Linked DNA regions of Macaca fascicularis. The protein of the gene in region 1 purifies or fractionates together with the protein of each later gene. This does not show direct contact. Links are inferred from orthologs where the notes say so. Each region holds a gene or a part of one and is shown in the gene's direction. Other genes may lie near its edges. The genes, in order: PEX5, ACOX1 and PECR.

The links.
Region 2: the proteins of PEX5 (region 1) and ACOX1 purify together in Homo sapiens (affinity purification with mass spectrometry; 3 studies listed by BioGRID, with this or other methods). This does not show direct contact. The link is inferred for Macaca fascicularis from reciprocal best matches to the Homo sapiens genes PEX5 and ACOX1.
Region 3: the proteins of PEX5 (region 1) and PECR purify together in Homo sapiens (affinity purification with mass spectrometry; 3 studies listed by BioGRID, with this or other methods). This does not show direct contact. The link is inferred for Macaca fascicularis from reciprocal best matches to the Homo sapiens genes PEX5 and PECR.

The regions. Positions count from the first base shown.
Region 1 is NC_088385.1:8,173,506-8,177,418, forward strand, and holds the start of PEX5 (peroxisomal biogenesis factor 5), read left to right. Parts: upstream 1-1,435; 5' UTR 1,436-1,936; intron 1,937-2,009; exon of another isoform or gene 2,010-2,082; 5' UTR 2,083-2,098; coding exon 2,099-2,245; intron 2,246-2,516; coding exon 2,517-2,552; intron 2,553-2,854; coding exon 2,855-2,987; intron 2,988-3,204; coding exon 3,205-3,336; intron 3,337-3,913.
Region 2 is NC_088390.1:82,392,260-82,396,172, reverse strand, and holds the start of ACOX1 (peroxisomal acyl-coenzyme A oxidase 1), read left to right. Parts: upstream 1-1,408; 5' UTR 1,409-1,469; coding exon 1,470-1,578; intron 1,579-1,849; coding exon 1,850-2,009; intron 2,010-3,913. UniProt on the Homo sapiens protein: Involved in the initial and rate-limiting step of peroxisomal beta-oxidation of straight-chain saturated and unsaturated very-long-chain fatty acids.
Region 3 is NC_088386.1:111,947,172-111,950,984, reverse strand, and holds part of PECR (peroxisomal trans-2-enoyl-CoA reductase), read left to right. Parts: intron 1-790; coding exon 791-887; intron 888-2,966; coding exon 2,967-3,077; intron 3,078-3,813. UniProt on the Homo sapiens protein: Participates in chain elongation of fatty acids. Catalyzes the reduction of trans-2-enoyl-CoAs of varying chain lengths from 6:1 to 16:1, having maximum activity with 10:1 CoA. Has no 2,4-dienoyl-CoA reductase activity.

The DNA.
Region 1 (3,913 bases):
CTGTTTTCAAAAGCATGCACCTTCTGGAGGGCATCTCTTCAGCCTTGTGTGGTTTAGTTTATCAGGTACTAGGTATTTTCCTCACGATGGCAGCCTGAGAACAGGGGACACCCAAGGGCTGGGATTTGTATTCTCCAGAAGAAAACGGGGCATAGGATTGGGGCGTCTGAAAGAGGGCAAAAAGGCAAGGAAAAGGAGAAATGTTGCACAGTCTTATGGTCTCTCCCCTGCCATTCTGTTCCCCTGAGGTGTCAGAACAGCTTCTCTGTCTTCCCAGGGATGAGTTTACACAGACATTCCCTGTGGGCCCCGCCGCCCCGAGGCCTCCACCTTTGAAATCTGCAGAGCAGCCAGGGAACAAGCCCGGCCCATGGCGCCACCTGCTGCCTGCCTGGCTCTCTGCTCGTGCACCCTGAGCTGGGATGGAACTTCTGTTCGTCTGGCACTACTGCCCTTGCTCATTTACCGGCAGCCCTGGGCCCCTCCTTGCTCTTCTCCGTGACACTAGGACTCCCTTGCTCTTGAAGCCGGGTGAGATTATCGGGGTTTGTTTCCCAATGACTTTGAGGTTTGACAGCAGAGCACATTCTCTGGCAGATGAGGGGGCCTGAGGCTTAGTCTTATTCCGTGATTAAAAGCATTTCTTGTATGTTTGTGCTTTCCCAGCCTGGAGTGGTGGGAATAAGGCCGCTATGTTGACTTAGTGGAAGGAAGGGCTGACTCACTGTACACCTTCCCTGTACGTTACCAGCTCGAGATCTCAGGATGCGTTGGACCCTATTTTGGTCTCCGGAATTTGTCATCATTCAGTGCTATTTTCCCCATTATGCAGAGGTGGAGAGGGATTGAGGCGGGGGCGGGCCCCTGTCTCCATGGAGACAGTGACGCTGCCCCGCTAGGGGTTATTTGGAAGTGGGGCAGAACTAGGAGGCTGAAGAAGGCCTCGGACTGAACTCCCCAGTCCCTGGTGTTAGGGCCTTTCTCTTTCTTGTGCTTGGGAACATTAGCCAGCTCCATTTTAGAGGGGAGAACTGAGGCTCAGAAGGGGCAGCGAATCCCCTTGGGTCACAATGCGCCCAAGGGAAGAGGCAGGATCAACTGAGCCTAAGATCTCGCGTCTTAGGCTTTCCCCCAGAACGTGGGAAGCCCTTCTTAGCTCCATTCTTCTTTGAGCTTACCGTCAAACAAATCCTAGGGCCCGTGGCCTTTTTGAGCCCTCCTAGAGTCGACTCTCCAAGACCTGCTCTCTAAGGTGCTCTTCCCCTTTAAGACTCACGGCTCTTCCCGTCAGGCTGCAACGCAGTCTTAAGGCCCCGCCTCTTCAGACAGCTTCCGCTGGGCCTGGGCCGCAGCAGGGCGGTCACGGCCCCTTTAAGTTTGAGCCCCGCCCCCTGACTCCCCGCCCCCCCTTCTCCCCTCCCCCAAGCCCGCACCTGGTGGCCCGGCGGGTCGTGCGGCGCGGCGCTCGGCGGTGAGCGCATGACCCGGAGGGGGCGCGGGACAGCGTCCCTGGGCCCTCCCCACCCTTGCGGTGGTCTCGCGGATCCCAGGGGCGGGGCTGGAGCGGCAGCAGGGCTGGGGAGATGGGCGGTGGGGAGCCGGGAGGGACCGGGCGGAGCCGGGGGAAGGGCTCCGGTGACTTAGGGGGAGGGAATGCCCCTCTGCGGTGCTCACCGTATGCTGGGGCTGCGGGGGCCTGGGTATGGTCGGGCTGTTTTCCCACTCTCCCTTGCCCGGGCAGTGTACCCGTCCAGCCCGGTTGTTGAAGCGTCCCCGTAGTCCCCCGGGTTCCAGGCCCCTTTGTGGGGGCGGCTGCTGGCCCCCAGCCCATGAGACCGTAGTCGTGGAGGCCGCTGCAAAGGCACAGGCTGGAAGCGGTGGCCTTTGAGGGGGGCGGCAGGAGAGAGTACCGACCTCCCTCGAACTCCTGGCAGAGGTGGGGGTCACAGCAAAAGGCACTGGGGTGGAGGGCGGCCAGTGCGGGGCAGACGCCTGTGTGCCTTCCTCAGGTGCGGGCAGAGTTGTGGGTCTGGGAAGAGTCTGGCTTCGGTACTTCAGTTCCAAACCTCCTGTGTCCATCAGAGAGCTGGCGGTCACCATGGCAATGCGGGAGCTGGTGGAGGCCGAATGCGGGGGTGCCAACCCGCTCATGAAGCTAGCCGGGCACTTCACCCAGGACAAGGCCCTTCGGCAGGAGGGATTGAGGCCTGGCCCCTGGCCCCCTGGAGCCCCAGCCTCTGAGGCAGTGAGTGTTCTTGAGGTGGAAAGTCCAGGTGGTGGTCTGAGGTGGAGGGGCTGTTTGTACATGTTGGTATAACTGCTTTCTCTATTGTGTTGCAAATCATAGTAGTTACCACTTAATGAGCGTTTACTAAACACTAGAAAACCTTGTGCACCTTTAAATAAAGGCAACCATTTTATGGATGGACAAACCGAGGCTCAGATGCCTGTGGTCTTCATCAACCCCTCATTTTAAAGGAACTGCACCATTTTGCGTCTCTGTCTTTCTCTCTTAGGCCTCCAAGCCTTTGGGAGTAGCTTCTGAAGATGAGGTAAATAGACCAGTCTCTTTTCTGTCCCATTTTTCTCTTGCCCATTGTGTTTTTACCTTTAAACTTAGTTCACCCATATTTCAGTTTTTGGGCTTTCCTGACCAAATGAGAATGCCTGCTTGTTTTTAAATGTATTTTTTTGTGCTTCTAAATCTATGCAAAGACAATTTCTGTTTGTGTGTCTCCAGTTTCTGTGTTTTCCTTTCCTTGTATCTGACATTGGGATCCCCCTCCAGTAGGTCCTGTCTTTTGCTGGGGCCTCCTGACCCTATGGGTTCATTTCATCATTTCTCTTCTGGCAGTTGGTGGCTGAATTCCTGCAGGACCAGAATGCACCCCTTGTGTCCCGTGCCCCTCAGACCTTCAAGATGGATGACCTCCTGGCTGAGATGCAGCAGATTGAACAGTCAAACTTCCGCCAGGCTCCCCAGAGAGGTGAGTCTGGAGTCTAGTGGGAGGGGAGATTGTTTTCCATGTAGCCAGGGCCAAGGAAGGGGGTTCCATTGGATGCTGCTGGCATTGGGGAACTGAGATGCAGAAGGAGACAGAAAAAGTCACAGAGTGTTTTCACGTGTACTCAGGGTTCTTTAGGCATGATGGAATGGTATGTATTGCTTCTGTCTTAGTTTTCTTTCTCTCTTTCTCTTTTAAGCCCCTGGTGTGGCAGACTTGGCCTTGTCTGAGAACTGGGCCCAGGAGTTTCTTGCAGCTGGAGATGCTGTGGATGTAACTCAGGATTATAATGAGACTGACTGGTCCCAAGAATTCATCTCTGAAGTTACAGGTGAAGCTTGTTATGGGAAAATCTATACTGGCTTCTATGGGGCAGAATTCTATGCCCTTCCCCTGTTCAGGGTGTAGCGTGATTATGATTTTTCTGGCCTCATGACTCATTTCTAGAGGGTTAGGGTACTGAACTCAATTTCCCTTAGGTGATAACAGAATGAAATGTATATTAAACAGAGGACTGGGTTTGTACTAGATAAGAGCTTTTGGATAGAGAGAACGAAGAGGTAGGTTGTCCTTTTTGTTACCTGGAGCTTTATCACTGTGGTTTGGTGGAGAGGATCTGCAGATTGGATGGATGGCAGTGTTGCTGAAGAGGAGAGTATTCACTGCGGCACCTGGGATTCTGGCATTAAGTTATTTTGAACAGAACTGGGGCCTTCAGAGTATTGTGACGTTCAAGTGCCTGAAATATGTGGTTTTAGAAGGTAAAGACCATACCATGATGATCATAATAAAAAATAATAATGATAGTTATGTTCTAGGCCTTGTGTTACATGCTTTGAATGCATTGTCTCCTTACTCTCCTTGAGAGTAGTTACTGTTTTTAGACCTAGTTTAAAGATAAGAGAATT
Region 2 (3,913 bases), on another chromosome or scaffold:
GGAGGCGGAGCTTGCAGTGAGCCGAGATCGCACCACGGCACTCCAACCTGGGCGATAGAGCGAGACTCTGTCTCAAGAAAAAAAAAACAAAAAAAAAACAGTGACTAGAGATGATTCAGCAAATCCGTGAATCTCCCTTGTCCACAATCCCACTGGGCAGAATTGTTTTTTGTTTTCTGTTTTTTTTTTTTCCTGTAGAGATAGGGTCTCACTATGTTGTCCAGGATGGAGTGCAATGTCACAATCTTGGCTCACTGCAACCTCCACCTCCGGTGCGCAAGCCACCATCCCATCTCAGCCTTCAGAGTAGCTGGGACTACAGGCGCATGCCACTACACCCAGCTAAGTTTTTGGTATTTTTTGTAGAGATGAGGTTTTGCCATGTTGCCCAGGCTGATCTTCAACGCCCGGGCTCAAGTGATACGCCTGCCTCGTCCTCCTAAAGTGCTGGGATTCCAGGCTTGAGCCACGGCGCCCGGCCCTACACTAGGTTTTAACAGTATTTAAGTGTGCATTTCCCACTTTGATGACGATAATGGCGAAAGCAAAGAAGTCTGGATTCCAAGACCTCTAGTAACTGCGAGGTTGGGGGGAAAAAAATGTCGGCTTTCCCAGATAGAAGGCTTACAGCAGCACTGCCCGCTCGGCCTCATTCTAAGTCCGCGTCCACCCCTTAAACAGCGGGCAGCGCTCACAATCCCACACCCAGGGCCCCGGAGCCCACGCCTCTGCCAATAAAGACGTCATTATTTTAACAAAAGGTAACTAGAGCCTCTCCCCAAAGAGACTTTGGTTCCCGTCCCATTCTCCTCCAATCCGGGTGGATTTGGCAAAAGCCCAAATGACCCTCCCTAGCAATTCCGCAAAGCCAGTCTCCCACTCCAGGTTCCTGAGTCTCCCCGACCCCTCTCATTTCAGAGATGCCTAGAGACACAGACCCGGAAGCGGGGAGAAGTCGGGCGGGCGGGGCGGGGGGCGGCAAGCGCAGGCGCAGTCCCTCCTCAGCCTCGTTGTCCCGCCCCTTCCCAAGGCCCCCAACCTGTTCTGGGCGTCGCCGGGTCCTCGGATTTCCTCTTTCCGCCCCGCGTGGTCACGTGACGGGAGAGGTGGCGGGATACAAAAAGTGCTTTACTTTCCCTCTCCCCGAACGCCCCGCGGGGCAATTTCTTGACCTTTGGAGCCCCTTTCCCGAGGATCCGCTCGGGAGCCTCCCCTGGCCAGGAGCAGAGGATTCGTCTGCCCCGCGACCGGCCCCAGTCACGCCGCGGACATCGCCCCCTCTGTCTGGGCGGTTGTCACTCACGCGCCGAAGGGCCTCGGAGAAAGAAGGGGCGGGCCGGGCGAGCGGAGGCGGGGACTTGCGCGCTTCTGAGGCTGCCTCATAGGGCCCGGCCGGCGCTGGAGCTGCGGGTTTAGGTTGTCACTGCCACCTCCGTCGGTGCTTACTTCGCTGCCAGCTGGTCGTCGCCATGAACCCGGACCTGCGCAGGGAGCGGGATTCCGCCAGCTTCAACCCGGAGCTGCTTACACATATCCTGGACGGCAGTCCCGAGAACACCCGGCGCCGCCGAGAGATCGGTGAGGGCGGCGGGCGAGACCTCCCTCCTTTCCTGAGAAAACCTGGAGACTCCCTCGATGCGGAGTCAGGGGCGCTATGGGGCCCAGGCCCTGTCGCCCAGCGTTAGGGGAGCCGGGACCCCCACTTCGAGGAACAGCCTGTGTTCCTGGTGGGGGGATATCGCCATTCCCGAGATGTGTCCGCGACTCTGAAGCCTATTGTGATTCAGGGAGGGTGGAACGGAGCCCCGAGTGTCTGTCTGCCTTTTAATGCCCTTTAACCCCCTTCCAGAGAACATGATCCTGAACGACCCAGACTTCCAGCATGAGGACTTGAACTTCCTCACTCGCAGCCAGCGTTATGAGGTGGCTGTCAGGAAAAGTGCCATCATGGTGAAGAAGATGAGGGAGTTTGGCATCGCAGACCCTGATGAAATTATGTGGTTTAAAAAGTAGGTATGCCTTAGCACAGAGCAAGTGTTGTTAAGCCTGAACTTTAAAGCTGCTGTCTGTGGTGGCCTTTCACCACCGTGCTTGGCGTTTGAAGATGCAAACTGGCATATTTTCATGCCACTTTATGAAGTTATATATGTGCCCAGGCGCGGTGGCTCACGCCTGTAATCCCAGCACTTTGGGAGGCCGAGGCGGGCGGATCACGAAGTCAGGAGATCGAGACCATCCTGGCTAACACGGTGAAACCCCGTCTCTACTAAAAATACAAAAAATTAGCTGGGCGTGGTGGCGAGCCCCTGTACCCTGTAGTCCCAGCTACTCGGGAGGCTGAGGCAGGAGAAGGGCGTGAACCCGGGAGGCGGAGCCTGCAGTGAGCCTAGATCCCGCCACTGCAGTCCAGCCTGGGCAAGAGTGCGCGACTCCGTCTCAAAAAATAAATAAATAAATAAAGTTATATGTGTGGAAAATAATGTGATTACTTTTGTATCCAAGCCTTTTCGTGGGATGACGTGTTTGTAGAATGTTGATAATAAATGGAAATGCAGGAGTTTTCTCGAGTACAGTTTCAAGGATGTTGTAAAAGCATTATTCTGCCCAAGCAACTCAAATTTGACTGATTTGAATGCAGAATCATTTTGCTCTTTGTAACGAGGACGGCTAAAATTCTGAATCTGGAAGGATTTTTTTTTTTTAGTTGAACGACCATTTAAATATTTTGGAGCGGCCGGGCGCGGTGGCTCAAGCCTGTAATCCCAGCACTTTGGGAGGCCGAGACGGGCGGATCACGAGGTCAGGAGATCGAGACCATCCTGGCTAACACGGTGAAACCCCGTCTCTACTAAAAATACAAAAAAAAAAAAAACTAGCCGGGCGAGGTGGCGGGCGCCTGTAGTCCCAGCTACTCCGGAGGCTGAGGCAGGAGAATGGCGTAAACCCGGGAGGCGGAGCTTGCAGTGAGCTGAGATCCGGCCACTGCACTCCAGCCCGGGCTACAGAGCAAGACTCCGTCTCAAAAAAAAAAAAAAAAAAAAAAAAAAAAAAATATTTTGGAGCAGTAGCAGATTATATTATATGGTAGTGTGGACCTGGATGAAGAATAATCAGTCACGCCTCTGAATGAATAGAAAGTCTAAGAACCCAGTAGTTCTGAATCGATGACAGCGCTTGAATGGTTGTCTTGTGCATATGAGAGAGATGTCATAAAAACCTCCCTTGGTTCTAGTGTGGAAGAGAGTATATCCTTTTTTCATACCATGTGTTTTATTGTGTTTTTTGTTTGTTTTTGTTTTCGTTTTTGTTTTTTTGAGATGGAGTGTTGCTCTGTCGCCCAGGCTGCAGTGCAGTGGTGCGATCTCGGCTCCAACCTCCACGCCCCCCAATTCAAGCCATTCTCCTGCTTCAGCCTCCGGAGTACTGGGATTACAGGCGCCCACCACCACGCTCGGCTAATTTTTGTATTTTTAGTAGAGATGGGGTTTCTCCATGTTGCCAGGCTGGTCTCAAACTCCTGACCTCGTGATCCACCCTGCTCCACAAGGAGCGGTAAAAATAAATAAAAATAAGGATTTTGGGCCGGGCACAGTGGCTTATGCCTGTAATCTCAGCACTTTGGGAGGCCGAGGCAGGTGGACCAGCCTGGCCAAAATAGTGAAACCCTCTCTCTACTAAAAATACAAAAATTAGCCGGGCATGGTGGTGCGCTCCTGTGGTCCCAGCTACTCGGGATGCTGAGGCAGGAGAATCCCTTGAACCCGGGAGGTGAAGGCTGCACTGAGCCGAGATCGTGACACTGCACTCCAGCCTGGGCAACAAAGAGAGACTCTGTCTCAAAAAACAAAAAAAAGGACTTTTTTACCTTAACCTAAACAAACACTGTTACATGATCCTAGTACAAGATTATTTT
Region 3 (3,813 bases), on another chromosome or scaffold:
AATGCCTTTGATTGGAAGAATTTTCCTAATTAGTTGTATAAGTTAATTTTCTCACATTAAATTATCCTATATTTGGTTTTGAGGATCTTGTAATTAGAAATTCTAAGCCATAGTGTCTATCTACACAAGACCCCATACTTCATTTATTTTTGAGATGGAGTCTCATTCTGTTGCCCAGGCTGGAGTGCAGTGGTGTAATAACAGCTCATTACAACCTCCGCCTCCCAGGTTCAAGTAATTCTCCTGCCTCAGCCTCCTGAGTAGCTGAGATTACAGATGCCTGCTACGATGCCTGGCTAATTTTTGTATTTTTAGTAGAGATGGGGTTTCACCATGTTGGCTGGGCTGGTCTTGAACTCCTGACCTCAGGTGATCTGCCCGCCTCAGCCTCCCAAAGTGCTGGGATTATAGGTGTGAGCCACTGCACCTCGCCACCTTTGTTATTTAAAATTGATTTTAAAAACAACCACATGCTTGAAATCCTGAAAATTACCGATATGTTTTCCTTTATAATCAAAGTTCTTGAAAGTATTCCTCTTGCATAGTGATTTGAGGAGCCTTATCTGGGTCTATGCCATGTGAGAGTTGCTTGATCATCAGCTGTGGCTTGGATTTAATACTGAAGGACATAGTTTTTTCTTTGTTGTTTAGACAGAAGCTCAACAAGACAGACTCCATAGGAAGAAGTCTCTGGTGGAATTGTCAGGTAGTTGGCATACCTGCCAGCTTGGTGAACCAGAGAAATACTCAACAGAAGCTGATTGTCATGTTTATGTTTTGTCTTTCAAAGGCATTCTGGAGCTGCAAGAGCAGGTGTTTACAACCTCACCAAATCTTTAGCTTTGGAATGGGCCTGCAGTGGAGTAAGGATCAATTGTGTTGCCCCTGTAGGTAAACGATCTATATTGAAGTTTATTGACAAATTATGCTTCTCTGATTCCATTTGTGGTGTTGATAGAGGTATTTGGTAATATGCAAGTGTAGCATAAAAGATTGACTTTAAAACATAGATAAAATGAGAAAGTCTAATTTTCTTTTTTTTTGAGATGAAGTCTCACTCTGTTGCCCAGGCTGGAGTGCAGTGGTGTGATCGTGGCTCACTATAACCTCCACCTCCGGGGCTCAAGTGATTCTCGTGCCTCAGCCTCCTGAAGAGCTGGGACTACAGGCACACGCCACTACCCCGGGCTAAGTTTTGTATTTTAGTAGAGATGGGTTTTCACCGTGTTGCCCAGGGTGGTCTCGAACTCCTGAGCTCAGGAGATCTGCCGCCTTGACCTCTCAAAGTGCTGGGATTAGAGGCATGAGCCACTGCACCCAGCCCAGAAAGTCTAATTATCATTACAGAAGTACTCTTTGATTTATAGCCAGATTGTCAAGAATGTTAAACAAGTGATTCTCGATTCTGGGTATTTTTTTTTTTAGAAGGAGTCTTGCTCCGTTGCCCAGGCTGGAGTGCAGTGGCATGATCTTGGCTCACTGCAACCTCTGCCTCCCGGGGTTCAAGTGATTCTCCTGCGTCAGCCTCCCAAGTAGGTGGGACTACAGGCACTTGCCACCACCCCCGGCTAATTTTTGTATTTTTACTAGAGACGGGGTTTCACTGTGTTAGCCAGGATGGTCTCAATCTCCTGACTTCGGGATCCACCCACCTTGGCTTCCCAAAGTGCTAGGATTACAGGCGTGAGCCACCACACCCGGCCTATCTGTAGATCTTATCTCTGTGATGTCAATAGGTGTTATATGTGCCACTCAGTGAAGGCTAAGCATGCCTGACTTCAAGCATGAAGTTAGTAAACTCATCTCTGACAAAGGCACTCCTACTAGTTCTAATTCATGTTTGCCTTCCAGAGACTTTTTTGGTTTAATGACCAAATTTTCATACTTCTAGATTTTATCCTCTTTAAATAAAAGGCAACATATTGTGTAATTGGAAGCCACTATATCTCTCCAGTATCATTTGAAGTAATTAAAACTGCCAAATTTTCTAATTTTATTTTAACTTTGCTTTCCTCCCCTCCTCGCCATAATTTGTTTAACAGTTTGAATCCATTACAAATGGCTGTATCCTGTGACATACAGTTTTTTTTTTTTTCTTTTTTTATGTTTGGGACAAGGTCTCGCTCTGTTGCCCAGGGCGAAGTGCGGTAGTGCGATCACGGCTCACTGCAGCCTCGACCTCCTGGGCTCAAGTGATCCAACTCAGCCTCCTGAGTAGCTGGGACCACAGGCGTGTACCACCATGCCCAGCTAATTCTTTTTTATATTTTTTGTAAAGATACAGTCTCCCTTTTTTCCCAGGCTGGTCTCAAACTCCTAGGCTCAAGTGATCCTCCAGCTTCGCTCTTGCAAAGTTCTGAGATTACAGGCATGAGCCACTGCACCTGGCCTGGGATACAGTTTTTGAGTAATTTTCCTGACCTTAGAAAGCTAGCGAAAGATACATTTAAAAATTTCGAAACAATTAACATTTTAGTTTATTGGTATTGGATTCAAATGCTTTATTTGCGATTTCAATCTAGGTAAAAAGCCAAGAAAATATTGCATTTTTCTAAGTCTCACGTAGCCATTGCCCAGTCTTCTCTTGTAAAGCAGAGAAGCCAAATGGAAACTAAAATAGACAGAGTCCCCTGTCCCATTGTTCCAAGTTAAGTGCCTCTTTCATTTACTTACATAATCATGACCTTCAGAAAGCAAGTCTTTCATGAAAAAATCCAGATGCTTAGGAGGAAGAGGAGGTCACAAAATAACCATTGAGATCATCCATTTGAGGATGATGGGGACTGTACTCCTTTGACAACATGGAGGAAAATTAATATCAGCACTGTTCACTTGTTTTTGACTTAAGCTACTTAATGTTTGAAATGCCAGTAGGCTATCTTGATATCTTTATAATTAAAATGTAATGCACTTTATTTTAGTGCATTTAGTGTAATGCACTAAATTTGTTTTATTTTTAAACACAGGGAATTATTTATTCCCAGACTGCTGCGGAGAACTATGGTTCTTTCGGACAAAGCCTCTTTGAAAGTTCTTTTCAGAAAATCCCCGCTAAACGAATTGGTGTTCCTGAGGAGGTAAGGCATATTTCCAGCATTGATTAGAATTGCTGTGTGTTGTACTTTGGAATTTGTAATTCAGTGTCATTTTTATGTGGTCTGGATGACATTATTTCTCCCACTGCCACCAGATCATTTCCCCTGTTCTTTCTGGCTCTCAGATATACTCTGGTTGTGCTTTGACTACTGACAGCAATCTGTACTTGAGAGTGAATGTAGTATAAATTAATAACAGCGTTTTTTTCCAGTTTGTTTTATTGTATTTTCATCCCATTATTTTATTACCTGGCATTTGTTGGTACACAGGACCCTAGGACTCTAAGCAAGTCAGACAATTATGGCCATAGGAAGTTCCACATGAGATTTTGGTAAGATTGAAGTCTGTAAAATCAGCGGCTTTCCAAAATGCCAGCAGCAGCAGTCTTTGTGGTTTTTTTTTTTTTTGGCTTGAGACAGGGTCTCACTCTGTTACAGGCTAAGTACAGTGTCGTGATCATAGATCACTGCAGCCTTGAACTCCTGCCTTGGCCTCCCAAAGTGCTGGGACGACGATGATGACGGTGATGATTTTTTCGACAGAGTTTCTTTGTCTCCCAGGCTAGAGTGCAGTGGCGTGATCTTTGCCCACTGCAACCTCCACCTCCTGGGTCAAGCGATTCTCCTGCCCCAGCCTCCCGAGTAGCTGGAATTATAGGTGTATGCCACCACACCCGGCTAATTTTTGTGTTTTTAGTAGAGGCAGGGTTTCACCATG